Schizosaccharomyces pombe: one gene and its partners. The protein of the gene in region 3 interacts with the protein of the main gene of each other region in a pairwise test. Each region holds a gene or a part of one and is shown on either strand. Other genes may lie near its edges.

Region 1 (4,561 bases), on a different chromosome or scaffold from region 3:
GACAATTAATTAAAACCTTTTTGTTAAGTTGCATGGCATTGTAAGCTACAAAAGAAACAAGCTTATCAAGTTCCAAAGCAAACTGTGTATCATGATCCCAATGAATGTGAACATATTCGATGTGATCAAATACTTGAATGTCCAGGTTATGTTTAGAATCTCTATAATGACGGCCATCAGTGCGAAATGGATGCAAAACTTCCTTCGCCACGTTTATAACAACATCAAAAGATTGAATAATGGGCATAGTAGGTTTGGCATATAAGTAAATATTTGGGGGATAGATACAAACAGGGCCATTGGGGTACGGCTGATTAGAATTGGGTTTAGATGCTTTCGGGAAAGATGGAGGGACAGGACACGGAGTAAACAATTGTGAATGACTAGCTTCCTCTTCGTTTTCCAACATATTTTTGTGGGAAACCAGGGGAAGTTGGGAGGTGTAAATTTTTAAGGGAGGTAGTTTTTGAGACATTCTCAAAGGAAGTTTTGATCGAAGCGGTTGTAAGGAAGACTCTTTTCGTTCTATATTTGTTGAGGACTTCAATGCACGTCCTTTCGTTTCAATTTGCTCTTCTGCATTTTCTTTCGCTGATTCAGAATTCATTTTGTGAGTTACCTTCAAACATTCATGGCACCAATAACCATTTCAACTTAGCTTCCTCTATAATATTTAACTTGCAAGAAGATAACTGGAGAATACAAATTTTCAGTGTTCTAATAATTGATGATAGACTGAAAAGATGTATGGAAGTATTGTGAGCTCCTACCAAGCTACAGCATTTGATGCTTTTCTACAGGTGACAGAGGTAACGCATTTTAACAAGTTGGTAAACTTGAATATAGAAAGATACTAAAAGTAAATACAGTAACGAGTTAAATTATCTGATTCATTTTATAAATCAGGTGCGAAATAAAGCTAATTAAACACAATGTACCATTTCGTCTTGCGAAGAAGACATCCACTTCCCAAATCTAAATTATCGTATATGGTTAAATAATGAAAAGATCTGCACTGAATTATCAATTTTAAAAAAATAGCATTGATGAGAAGATGAACAAAACCTCAAATTTTAAGACGTTCTCATACTATAAAGTTTGAGCAAGCAATGCAGCAAATAGAGATGCAGCCAGATCCAATAACATTAAAATAGACGTCCTAGTAGGATTAGCAACTTCTTAAAGAAATGAGCGATATAAAAAAAATAAAAACTTGTACGAGAGGGACGACAAATTAAATGATAGCACTCCTCAATCAATGTTTGTATGAACTTACATGTATGAGAAGAACCTGATTTACTTGATAAACACAAAGAAAAATTGATTCAAAATTAAACTTGTAATAGGCCGAACTAGGGGGAAGGAGTGTCTTGAAGAGAAGGAAAAGACTGTGATGCTGGAGACGCCCTCTGGGGGATAATAGGATGAGCAACTCGCAAAGACGTTGGTGATGGATGCAAGCTCGATTTGTTTGTAGAATTCGAGACATGACGGGTTGATGGATCGCTACGGTACCGGAAATGAGATGCAGCACTATACATTTGAGAAGGAGGAGTAGAATGTGTATGAATTTTTGAATGAAATCGGGAATCATCAGAAAAGAGAGTTGTTCTAACATTATGATGAGAAAGTTCATTTGATTGAAGATCAACTGATGGAAAGGGGTCATTTAAATGCAGAGAAGGCCTACCATAACTATCAGAGGCCATACGTTGTGGTGAAGAATCAACAGAACTGGTATAATTCAATGGTGGTGTATGACGGACAAGATCTAAAGAGTTTGAGCTTTCCTGTTGACTCAAAATAGATGCATCGATCGCTTCTTGCACCAAGCCAAGACACAATTCGGCAAGGCTTCGGCATAACGCATCCACCACACTCGATGGAGAGGTGTTTACCAAGGTGATTGCATGGTTTACAGCTTGCTCTACGGGCTTTAAAATGATGGGCGAAGGATGATAAGTGCGAAGCCGCATAAGAGCCGTTTGCATCGTGCTTAGCGGCGCCGGTGAGTGAGGTGAATGAGTAGAGGGTAAAAGAGAAGGGTAACTGTTAGGAGAACGATATGGACTAAGATTGTTATGATAGCCTAAGTAGGAAGAGGGTCGCTCACTGAGTTGAAGCTCTACTTGATTTAAGCGTTCTCGGAGATTTTCAAGCTCCTGAAGCACAAGGTTATTATCTGCAGTCGATACTTTTTCCAAAGACTTTTCAGAAACAAATTTCGCTGCTTTATGCTCCTGTATAGCATTATTAGACTTCATTGAATTCACGTTTGCATCCGCCAAACTCGGCCAAGACGGCGAGTAAAGAGGATTTTCATCTTTTGTAAAAGAGACCCCATTGTCTAAATAATTATTATCGCTATACATGGAATCTTCTAAAGGTTCTGTCATTAAAGATGCGGATCTCATACCAGCGCGCCATGGTGAACCTCTTGGAGTAGATTCGCGCGAATTTGAGGATAATTGATTAGCAGAGGCTTCATAATTAAGAAAAGGATCCTCTGCCACTTCCCTATCAGACTGGTAATTATGTTCAGACATGCGAAACCACCAGCAAGACGCTGGAGGATTAGAATAAACAGTTGCAAGACCAAGCTCGAATTTGCAAGAGATTCTTGCACTCTTGAAAGATAAAGAGTTGAAAGCACGAATTAACGAATAGAGTATGCACTCTGAAAACCTAACTTAACATACTGTCTTATACTATTTAAAAGTAATATTGCAAAACACAGCAACAAGACAGTTCGCTATTAGTTATCATAACGTATTTTAACGGGATCCACGAAGTTTTCCTGAATAAGCTTTTCCCACAGTTCGTTAGGATAACTTGCTAGTTTTTATTAACCGAAGCTTAATTCTAAGCGGCAACTTCGACTGTGCGGGCAAACAGTACGCTTCGTTACATGTCACTATGCTTTTTTAACTATTCCTAAAAAATCTTTAAATGCCTTTAACACACAATAATCGTTATTGTTTTTAGTGAGTGTATGGTTGAGATAGTTTGAAATAGGAACTACGTATTCTAAAATGCTACACTATTTAAGACAAATAGCAAAACATCTTTTTGTTGAATGAATGAATATATTTGGAAGAGTAATTGAGAAAATAAAGCATAATCCGAAAAATTAAAAAAGCACACCTAGTATATGACAACACTAATTTTCCAGTTGAGAACAATACAAAAGTCAAGATATCAATAACACCAGTGTGAAGCTACAAAATTACAATTTTTTTAATTCAAGCAAAACCAATTCGTCGAATTATCCTCTCAATTTAGACAATTACATCTTTAGTTACTGAATATACCTCAAGAACCAAATAGATGTGTTTTTTAAACAACATTAATAATTATGTACTACTGAAATTATCGTTAAAAACTATATAACGCAATAATAGACAATGCAGTAAAAAAGAGCGCTATGTAATAACAATTCCTCATTCCGCTTCGAGGGGCTTTCTAAATGGTTAAACTCCACTCAATTACCCTTGCTTAACTCCACGTTCTATCTCCACAAAATTCGGTAAAGTCAAATTAAGGATGATGCGACGACTCTCGGAATCCTTTGTTTATATCACGGTCCGACATCTTGCACTCTCCATACATGCTACATTAGTTATAAAAAAACAATGTCAATGCTTTCTACTTTACGTACTGCAGGTTCTTTACGGACGTTTTCAAGAAGCGCCTGTTACTCTTTTGTAAGTTGTGAATTGGCTCCTAAGCGATAAATCGCTGGTTTAAGCAGCCTTACTCGTCTTTTCATGATTATTTGATCGATTATATTAACAGAGTTATTTTTAGCAGAGATTTTCTTCAACGAAGGCTGCCGCTGGGACATATGAAGGAGTAAAGAATGCCAACGGGAACTACACAGTAACGATGATTGCTGGCGATGGCATTGGTCCAGAAATTGCTCAGTCTGTAGAACGTATATTTAAGGCTGCAAAGGTTTGTCGAGTCATCCGTCATTTAGTCATTAACGACTTGTATTGTAGGTCCCTATCGAATGGGAACGTGTAAAAGTATATCCTATTTTGAAAAATGGTATGTCAAGTATAAGAGAAGATGGTTGGATTTGTATGCAGTTTGGCCTTTCTTTTATACGTTTTTGTCAGCAATGCTTGTTCCTGCTTGTCAAGTCCTTCCATGTCTCCTCGAGATTATCGCGCACGAAAATCACGTTTACTAATTCGTTTAGGTACTACTACTATTCCTGATGATGCTAAGGAATCTGTTAGGAAAAATAAAGTGGCTTTGAAAGGTCCATTGGCAACCCCAATTGGGAAGGGTCATGTTTCTATGAACCTTACTTTGCGTCGTACTTTCGGCTTGTTTGCCAATGTTCGTCCCTGTGTATCTATTACGGGATACAAAACACCTTATGATAACGTTAATACCGTTTTGATTCGTGAGAACACTGAGGGTGAATACTCAGGCATCGAGCATGAAGTTATACCAGGCGTTGTTCAATCGATTAAATTAATTACTCGCGCAGCATCTGAGCGTGTTATTCGTTATGCATTCCAATATGCTCGCCAAACTGGCAAGAACAACA
Region 2 (5,214 bases), 250 kb from region 3:
AAAGGGAAGCAAATGATGGACGTCGGGAATCAATTATCTCTTTGATACAATTAGCATCAAGATAGCTATCTCTCCATTCAACTTCAATTTCACTTTTTGTTGTTTTGCTACTCCATTTCATACAAGTAGAGGTAGTAGCGAATTCACTTTTCGTAGGGCTAGTCACATGAGGTTCAGGTAATTCCTCTTCTTCGTAGTAAACAGGAATCCTATCTTTTATTCCATAATTTTCTTCAGGCTCTTCAATTAATGGCTTCCCCCTGTCTCTTCGGACTTTCACATGTAAGTGTTTGCGAGTTTTTTGACAAACACACCAAAAGTCATTCTCGTCAAATACAGCGGACTCGCCTAAATTTGAATGAAGCTGCCAGTGATATCTTGAGCTATGAGGACTCCAAGGATCATTCCATCCAGCTGATGGACTATCAAAGACGTCTAAATCTTGAATCAACCGATTAGGACTTTTGCCAATTCGCAAGTTCTTTACAGTTGCCATTCCTCTTTATAGTTTGATGTAAATAATTTTAATAAAGAAATTTAAATTTTTTATTATGAAAAATACTTGAAAAAACGTCCAAACGGAAAGAACGTACAGATTGAAGGATTTTTCATGAGTAAAGGACTCGGTAGGTAGACTTCATGCGTATGATGCTTGTCGTCTTACATATGCCAGCCAGGTATGCGACCATCAATTTTATGAATGTGGGGAATAAGATAGAAGTAAATGTTTGTATTTCATTGATAAGGCTACTAAAGAAGGTAAGAAACAATCAACACCTACATTTCGCTATACGAAATTTACCATTATGCTTAAATAAGATTTTTAACCTAAATACACCTTACTTTAAAAATAATGTAGTTAATCAATAAAGATTAAACTTGGTTAACTGGAAGTTAACAGAATGGAAGTCTAAAAATCTAAAATATCATTAAAACCATGAAATGGTTAGCAATTGTAAAAGAAGGAAACTAGGCATCCTGTAAAAAAACAGTAAAGCTAAAATTAAAAAGACTTCAATTAGAAGAACGAGAGACGAATATATATGCCATCAGCATACTTTGGTGTGTCACGGAAAAGAATAAGATCTTAGCAAAAAATTGAAATCAAACAAAAGAGATAAATCTATAAACATGGAAAATAAGAATATTTGGGGATTAGGAATTAAAGCAAAAATTTGAAGAAAAAATAGAGAAAAGCAAACAATATTAGGATAACTGCCTTAGAACATTGCGCATGTCGTCACTGAGCTAGCCATTCACACTACGGAAATGTGCTTAATTGTAAAGAGAAAAGAAGTTCAGATGTATTGGCGAATTTTTAAGAAGGCTCCAAAGAATGTTCAATATTATTTTCGGGTAAAGCTACAGAAATAGGAGCAATAGCGGGCATGTTTGCAACGGGCATTGAAATCGGTAGATAGCCTAAGAAAGAATTTGTAAAAGATTGGGGCGTTAGTGGTGAATTCGTTGTAGGGATATGCATAACAGGTGGTGTATAAGCGACTGAAGGAAGACCCGAGAGCACAGTAGGGACAGCAGGTAGTGGAGTCGCATAGTGAGCGTATGATAATTGCAAGGGTCTCCCGCCATAACGATAACCATTTAATTTTTCAATTGAGGATGCTGCATCATTTTCATTCTCAAATTGAACGACACCGAAACCTTTAGATCGGCCAGTGGGCTCATAGGCGATTCGGGCACGAATGACTGAGCCAATATCTGTGAATAGGTCCAATAAATTGCGATCTGAGGTGGCCCAAGGTAACTATATTCAGTCAGTAATCTCCAAAAAAAACTTAAAATGATGCGGAAAACTAATCCCACAAAAGCGTCCTTATATACATACATTTCCAACGTAAATGCAATCCGAGCAGGGTCCATGGGGATACGCATGATAAACTAAATCCTCGACTTGAGTATTAGCACCTAACATGGGTAGATAGGTGGATGATGTAGTCATTTGCATTTCCGCTGGAAACGTATAGCCATTTCCATGAGTGGAATACGGCTTACTTTTATGATGTGCAAACCGATCTAGGCGAACTTCTAAAGTGCGGCCCATGAAATCAGTGTTATGCAACATTTGAATGGCATGCATGGCTTCTTTCATCGAACTCATGACAACAATCCCAATGCCACGGGATCGGCCTTCTTGGTTCATTTGGATATCAGCTCGGATAACAGAACCAGCTTGTCTAAACAAATCCTTTAAATCTTGCCAGCGAACGTTATACGGTAACTATACTCGTTAGTACCATTTCTTATTTGCAATTCCACAATTCATTAAAATACCAAAGTTCGAGGAAAAGAATATAGAGGATTAGAAATTGAACTTACGTTACCAACAAACAATTGCCTGTCTGGCTCAGAATCTTTGCCATTCGACGACGCGCTAGGCGATACTGAAGAGGAGCCAAATCTTGCATTTTGTTCTCGATCCTTTACGAAGGTTAATAAGCGACATAAAAAAAATCTTACTTCACGGATATAAACAAGACGGCCCATAAATTTTTGGTTGCTCAGAGTTTTAATTGCCGTGCGCGCTTCTTCAGCAGTAGAGTACTCAATTATCGCGCATCCCTGATATATTAGCTAGACTATTCACAATCTGAGTATACGACAAATTTTAGGATAAGCTATAGGCCATAAGTAATCGTTTAAAAGTAACGTTCAATTGGATCGATTCAACGTTACAATTTAAATAGACAATGATTTACTAGTCGCATGAAACCCACCCTCTATGAAGCAAACTTACCTTCGATAATCCATTCGGAAGATTCAAAATCTCACAATTAAGAACATTGCCAACTTGTCCCATAAACTCTTTCAACTCAAACCAACGAACTTGATATGACAAATTACCAACATACACGCGACGCTCTTGTTGAGTGTACTTTTGGCCATTTCCCAAGTGAGGGTCTCTTTCAGTGTGCTCTCCATCAAAATGCAAGCCACGTTTCAATGAATTGCTTCCGTTGACATGTCGCTTCGGAGACTCCGATCTGTCACGATCCATATTGGAAGACGATGAATTCAAGGAACTTGACACATCCAACTTACTACCCATTCCTGAATCAAATTCATTCTATTTGATCAGCTAAATCAATCAATAGTTATCATACCCATTCTATAGGTTTAGGCATCGCAAGAGCATAAGCTGAGTGTGCATCTTCACATAATTAAAGCATCCCAACAACTTGACTTCTATAGTGTAACTGCAATATAATTTCGTAAGTGATATACTGTAAACTCTTAGATTCGCTAAAAGAACAATAGAATAAAAAAACTGTAAACATTTAAATTATAAATATTGACATGTACTGACTAATTAATCATAGTAAGGAGTTTTAGTTGTTTGTAAATGAGTCGTAATAAAAATGGAAACTCAAACAATAACTAGGGTTAGAGATAACCTCAGTTAATATTAAGTGTTTGAAAAATTCAAAGACTGTGCATAAATTGTATCAACAAAAAAGAGACAAACGAATATATTAGGAGTAAACAAAAAGGCTTTTGGTACAGCACCATTATTATCATCATGAATAATTCCTTGAGGCAAAAGTTGTCCTTATTAGTTATAATCATAAGTTTGCACAAGCCATGTATTAAAAGACAATAAATAAATTTTCAACGTGATTACCAAAAAAATCGGTATCAGGCTAGGAATTTTAAATAAGAAGACAGACTCAATGCCCTTGGGATCCGAACTCTTTGTCCCATTCTGAATATCGTTCCAGCCCTTGCAAGTTCACACTAGGCCGGATTACCTTGATACTAGTTTTAAAGTCATCTAAATTAATCGGCCTAATCGACTCCATTTTCGTGAATAGCAAAGACTCACCTAAACTTCGCAAAGGCCCCATAGCTGCGTCTTTTGCCAATGCTGTCAAATCAGAGCCAGAGTAATATTCGGTTGCTTTCACAATAGCCTCAATATCCTCTAAGGAAAGAGAATGCTTCTGATATTTTAAAAGGTTATTTAAATGTAAGCGACGAGTGGTCTCATCAGGGAGGGGAATGTAGGTACGACGGACAAATCGTCTACGAGCAGCATCGTCGATACACCAAGGCAAATTGGTAGCGGCAAGCACTAGAACTCTTGGGTGATCGGCGGTTTGTCGAGATGCAGCTGCTCTTGCAAGCGAAGACCACTGAATTAAGAATTCTGTTTTTATTCTTCTCGATGTTTCATGCTCATTTCCATCACTGCTTCTAGCAGAAAGCAGTGAATCAATTTCGTCAACAAAAATGATGCTTGGAGACAGCTTTTTTGCTAAAGTGAAGAGAGCACGAACAAGTTTTTCGGATTCACCCAAAAACTTGGATGTTAAACTAGAAGCTGAAATAGAAAAAAAGACAGAACGGGATTCAGTAGCAACAGCTCGCGCAAGCATTGTCTTACCAGTTCCTGGAGGCCCAAAAAGAAGCATCCCCCTAGCTGGTTCCCGCAAGCCTTGGAACAAATCTGGACGCAAGAACGGATACACCACTGCCTCTTTTAAAGAGTGCTTAGCAAATTCTAACCCAGAAATATCATCCCAATGAACTTCATCACCCGAAACCACGATTTCTCGAAGTATACTCTTACCAAGCTCTTCGTCGATGTCTGGACATTCACGCAGAATTTGTTCTTGCTTTTCAGAAGTCATTGCAGAGATAGATGTGGATTGAAACTGCTTTTCAATAATCTCTTCTTCGTTTGTGTGGTTGAAAAATTCATCGCCATCAACCGGCGAATCTTTCTCTTCACAGGAAGAAAGCCCCTGTTCGGAAGCTGGATAGAGATCACTCAGAAAAGGGTTGTTCACAGATAAACGTGGCGGTGTAAGGAAATCCAGATCTTGCGCAGTTTCAGTGGAAGCAGATTGAGCTCGTGGAGCTGACTGAGGAGTGGGAGATGGCGATTTTGTAACTGACGAAACAGAAGCGAGAGATGGCGCGACGGTTGCGATTGAGGTAGATGACTTTGATAACTGTTTTGATATAGAAGGTACTTCAGTGGTACGATTAGGGAGATGGGATTGCGTTTTCTTTTTGAAGGGTGAGGAAGAGGAGGAAATAGAAGAGTAAGTTCGGCGGGCAGCTTCAATAACGGCGGAGTTATCGGGAGTTGGACGATGACGCTCAACCTGAAACGATGATCGAGATGCCTGCGCTGCTTCCGATGATATGTATGATGGCGGGAGAGCATGCTTAGGCTTAGATGAATTCAAA
Region 3 (4,080 bases):
AACGGGAATGCTTTTCTCAAGTTGAAGGCTATCGCTGGCGTGGACGTACTTATCAGCATTGTCTGGCAAGCGGACTGGATGACTACCCTAGAGCTCAACCCCCTAGTACTGCTGAGCTTCATGTTGATTTACTCAGCTGGATGACTTCATTTACCAGAAGTTTACATTTTGTCGCTGAGTTTTTAGGCGAAACCGAGGAAGCAGAGAAATTGGCTGGCTATGAAAATGCAATGCTTCGAAACCTCGAAGACAATCATTGGGATGAAGAAGTACAGGCTTACTGTGATTCAAGTGTTGATGAATACGATGATCCTATTAATGTGTGTCATAAAGGATATGTTACTCTACTGCCAATGATGCTTGGTTTGCTTCCTGCTGATAGTGGTAGGCTTACTAGCTTGTTGAAACTTATTAGGGACGAAAATGAGTTGTGGTCTCCTTATGGAATCCGAAGCTTAAGTATGAACGATGTTTACTTTGGAACCGGAGAAAACTACTGGCGAGGCCCTATATGGATTAATATGAATTATCTCATCCTTAGTAGTTTATATCAAAATTACATTAATACCCCTGGTCCCAATCAAAATCTTGCAAGGTCGATTTATGAAGAGCTACGTACTAACGTTGTAAATAATGTTTTTGAGAATTGGCGCCAAACCGGTATTTTCTGGGAACAATACGATCCCACCACTGGTAAGGGTCAACGAACCAAGGACTTTACTGGATGGACCAGTCTAGTTGTTAACATTATGTCTGAAAATTATTGAGAATGATAATTATTGGATTATTTTCTTTATGACTTGTTCATATTTTTAAACTTTCGAGAATAGAAAATGAAAAGTGATTATTTTGTAATGCTCATACTATTAGAAAGGTCATATATAAGCCTAAAAATTTTTTTCGTCGCACGCATTGCGAACTGCGTTTCGTATTTAAGAACAATCATCAAAAAAAACAAAAGGAAATAAACATATTAAACGGGAACTTTTAAGAAATTAAGAGAACACTAGAATTGATCGAATTAATGTACTTTCGTTTCAACTTCCTCCATCATTTGGGGAGTGTTCACGCCTTCTTTCGTAGCGGTCGTCTCTTTTTGAATGATAATTGGTGGTACTATGCCTATGGTGCCTAGATAAATGTGTACGGTAAGGTTCGTGACGACGATGAGAGCCATGTCGATGATTGCTTCGTGTTCTTTCTTTTTCCTTTCTTCTATGGCGGTTAGCCGGAGAAGTTGACCTTGATCGGGAGGTACTATGGGCAATGCTTCTGGAATCTTTTTCAGTATTTGTTGAAGAGCGGTTTGCGGCTTTTGACGACGTTAGTGCGAGAGCAGAAGGCTGCGGAAGACCCAAAGCTTCTGCAAGCATCCTTTGCTCTCTTTCTTTAATCTCTAAAATTTCTTTTTTATACTTTTCTTTATCAGAATTTTCCGAATTTATAGCAGACTGGGTGGTTCTACCTTTAGACCACCACTCCAAATCCTTACCCTCAGCCCAACGACCTGAGGCGGCATAAATAGATTGACCCAAATATCTTCCTTTCTGTTTATCATTTCTCACTTCTTCCCATTGGAATTGGGCTTGACCACCACGTGTACCGGCACCAGACGGACCCATGGTTCGAAATAACTAGTTAATTATTGTAACGATAGACGTTAAGCAAGAAGTAAACGGATTCAGACGAAAAATCGCAAAATGTTTGAATTAAAAACTGCGCTACCAGTGTCTGATTGAATTAACTTAATAATAAAAATAATTGAGTGGTAAATAACTGTTTTTGAAATATTGGGTCGTTTAAATCAAAGTTTTTAAGTTGGGGTGGAATATTGATTTTTTTTTTCTTAACAATAGCTCTAAATTTGATTTCAAAGATTAAATAAATATCAAAATTAACCAGTTTAAACAGACTTTTTTACTCCTAGGTTGTAGTCGCGTCTGCGTGCTATTAAAATGTTAATAATTCGTAGTATATCCAATGAAATAACGATGGTTTAAAATTCGCTAAATGGAAAGCAGATAGTACTAACCAAGGCTTTCAATTCAATGAAGAGCCTTTTTTGTTACTCTCGTTCAAAGATATAGAATATTTTTTTTTTTTTAATATAAAGGCTAATTTTTCGTTTTAACATAGTTGCATGCAAAAGAAATTTATTTAGATATTGGTTGGAATGATTTTTCGACGACCAAAAAGTATTCGCATGCTACTTGTATGTAAAAGTTAGGTTGTATTAATCGTAACGACTACACATGAATTTGAAGAAATCTTCTTTCATTCTCTAATTCTGAAAAAAAGTGAATTGAGCAAAATAGTACTCCACGAGTTGCTAATGTGCTCAGGTACTATTCAAAACGATCACTGAACCAAGTGATGAATCTATACTCATTTTGAACAATTTATAGTCTCATGCATCTACTTATAAAATTATTTTTAAAAGTTTTACAGCTTATTTCAATCTTAATATTCTACAATTACTGCTCATGATGATATGTCTAGACCACAGTAGAAAATACTATTTCATTCAAGTTTAGTTTTCCAACTTAAGAGTCAAATGGCATCTACCACAGTAAAGGCGGTCCTTGTGGTTGGCCATGAAGGTGGACGCACCACAGTTGGGACACTCACGACGAAGACGCTTAACGCTTCCATCATCCTCAACCTTGTAGTATTTGAGGACGGCGAGCTCAACCTTCTTGTGCTTGTGCTTGATCTTCTTGGGAGTAGTGTAAGTCTTCTTTTTACGCTTCTTACCACCACCACGAAGACGCAAAACGAGGTGAAGAGTGGACTCCTTTTGGATGTTATAATCAGACAAAGTACGTCCGTCCTCGAGTTGCTTGCCAGCAAAGATCAAACGTTGTTGATCAGGAGGAATTCCTTCCTTATCTTGGATTTTGCTCTTGACATTGTCAATAGTGTCAGAGGATTCAACCTCAAGGGTAATGGTCTTACCCGTAAGGGTTTTTACAAAGATCTGCATCGTCAGCAAAGTATTGCCTCTTCCTCGCGGATGGAGGAAAATATTGATGTTGCATTGTGATATATGGATGCGTGACTGGTTTTAACTCACGTAGGTTAGGGTGTAACGCAAGTTTCTCGTACTGAGAATTAACGTTTGCGTTAATTATATAACACAATTTAACATTTCTCACAATTTTTAAAATCGTAATGCTGAAATGAAAATCCTGATTCCCTTGTATTAATATCGACAGTTTGTCACTAATTGATGTCAATTATATCCTATTGAATGATTCATATATGGTGATTTAGTGTAGTAAAGGCTTGTAAACCTGTGATTTTGTGTTTGCATAAGCTACGACGAGTTTTCGTATTTTTTGGTTCTTTGCAAATAGAAATGAATTATCTTTTCTCTTGCCGACAAAATTTCCTCCAATGACCAGCAATAATAGTTAAAACAATCATTGGTTTCTCTGTTTAAGTCATAGTGATTAATTTGTTGAATTATTATTATCATAATAAATGCTTGCTTGGCAGCATACTACAACCACTGTTTTCCAATGAAATACTTCGCATACTATAGTAATTAAATACAAGTTTTCCCTAGAAATACCAACTTAAACATATGTTGACTAAACATCGGTGCGAGTGAAAGCAAACACTAATTCTTACTCATGTATCCAAGTTGTTTGTCAGGTTTGGGGAAACTAGTTTTACCATTTCAGCCGTTCAACGATACGAACAACTTCATAGTTGTATTTCCATTTCACAAAGATTAATCTGTAGATTTTAGATGATGCAGAGTTATACACAATACTAGGGTGATGAATAAATATACAAAAGACAGATACAAGTTGATAAATTATCAAAATTGTCACAGCATTAGTTCATGTACGATGCTTGAATTTGAATTTATATAAAAGCAAATTAAAAACAATAATATTAGTAAAATTAAAAAATCCCAAAAAAAAACCAAACATAACTCATTATAATGCAATGCGATGCAAGTTGTACAGCTGTCATCATTAGTGCTGTCTGCGATCTACGCCGCCAACACATATATTTCTCTGCTTATGCCGATTTAAGGCATCAAGTCGGTTAAATCTCTTTAAGCATTCA

Evidence for each region. The genes of interacting proteins can lie anywhere in the genome.
Region 1: the proteins of SPOM_SPAC6G10.10C (region 3) and mto2 interact in a two-hybrid assay, tested with the Schizosaccharomyces pombe proteins (one large-scale study listed by BioGRID).
Region 2: the proteins of SPOM_SPAC6G10.10C (region 3) and hrb1 interact in a two-hybrid assay, tested with the Schizosaccharomyces pombe proteins (one large-scale study listed by BioGRID).

Annotation. Positions count from the first base shown.
Region 1 is NC_003423.3:492,727-497,287, reverse strand, and holds mto2 (gamma tubulin complex linker Mto2), read right to left. Parts: upstream 2,610-4,561; 5' UTR 2,547-2,609; coding exon 1,353-2,546; 3' UTR 1,277-1,352; exon of another isoform or gene 1,160-1,276; 3' UTR 865-1,159; downstream 1-864. Other genes in the region: dual-specificity MAP kinase phosphatase Pmp1, read right to left, coding at 1-475; idh2 (isocitrate dehydrogenase (NAD+) subunit 2), read left to right, coding at 3,633-3,704, 3,808-3,954, 4,002-4,050, 4,205-4,561.
Region 2 is NC_003424.3:3,482,607-3,487,820, reverse strand, and holds hrb1 (RNA-binding and mRNA export factor), read right to left. Parts: upstream 3,166-5,214; 5' UTR 3,144-3,165; coding exon 3,123-3,143; intron 3,094-3,122; exon of another isoform or gene 3,086-3,093; coding exon 2,756-3,085; exon of another isoform or gene 2,581-2,755; coding exon 2,479-2,580; intron 2,440-2,478; coding exon 2,338-2,439; exon of another isoform or gene 2,240-2,337; coding exon 1,847-2,239; intron 1,766-1,846; coding exon 1,319-1,765; 3' UTR 865-1,318; downstream 1-864. Other genes in the region: ubiquitin hydrolase Ubp2, read right to left, coding at 1-496; spg4 (AAA domain-containing protein), read right to left, coding at 3,687-5,214.
Region 3 is NC_003424.3:3,235,380-3,239,459, forward strand, and holds SPOM_SPAC6G10.10C (uncharacterized protein), read right to left. Parts: upstream 1,945-4,080; 5' UTR 1,623-1,944; coding exon 1,038-1,622; 3' UTR 800-1,037; downstream 1-799. Other genes in the region: glucosidase I Gls1, read left to right, coding at 1-767; ubi3 (ubiquitin-40S ribosomal protein S31 fusion protein), read right to left, coding at 2,531-2,983; DNA-binding transcription factor Ace2, read right to left, coding at 3,987-4,080.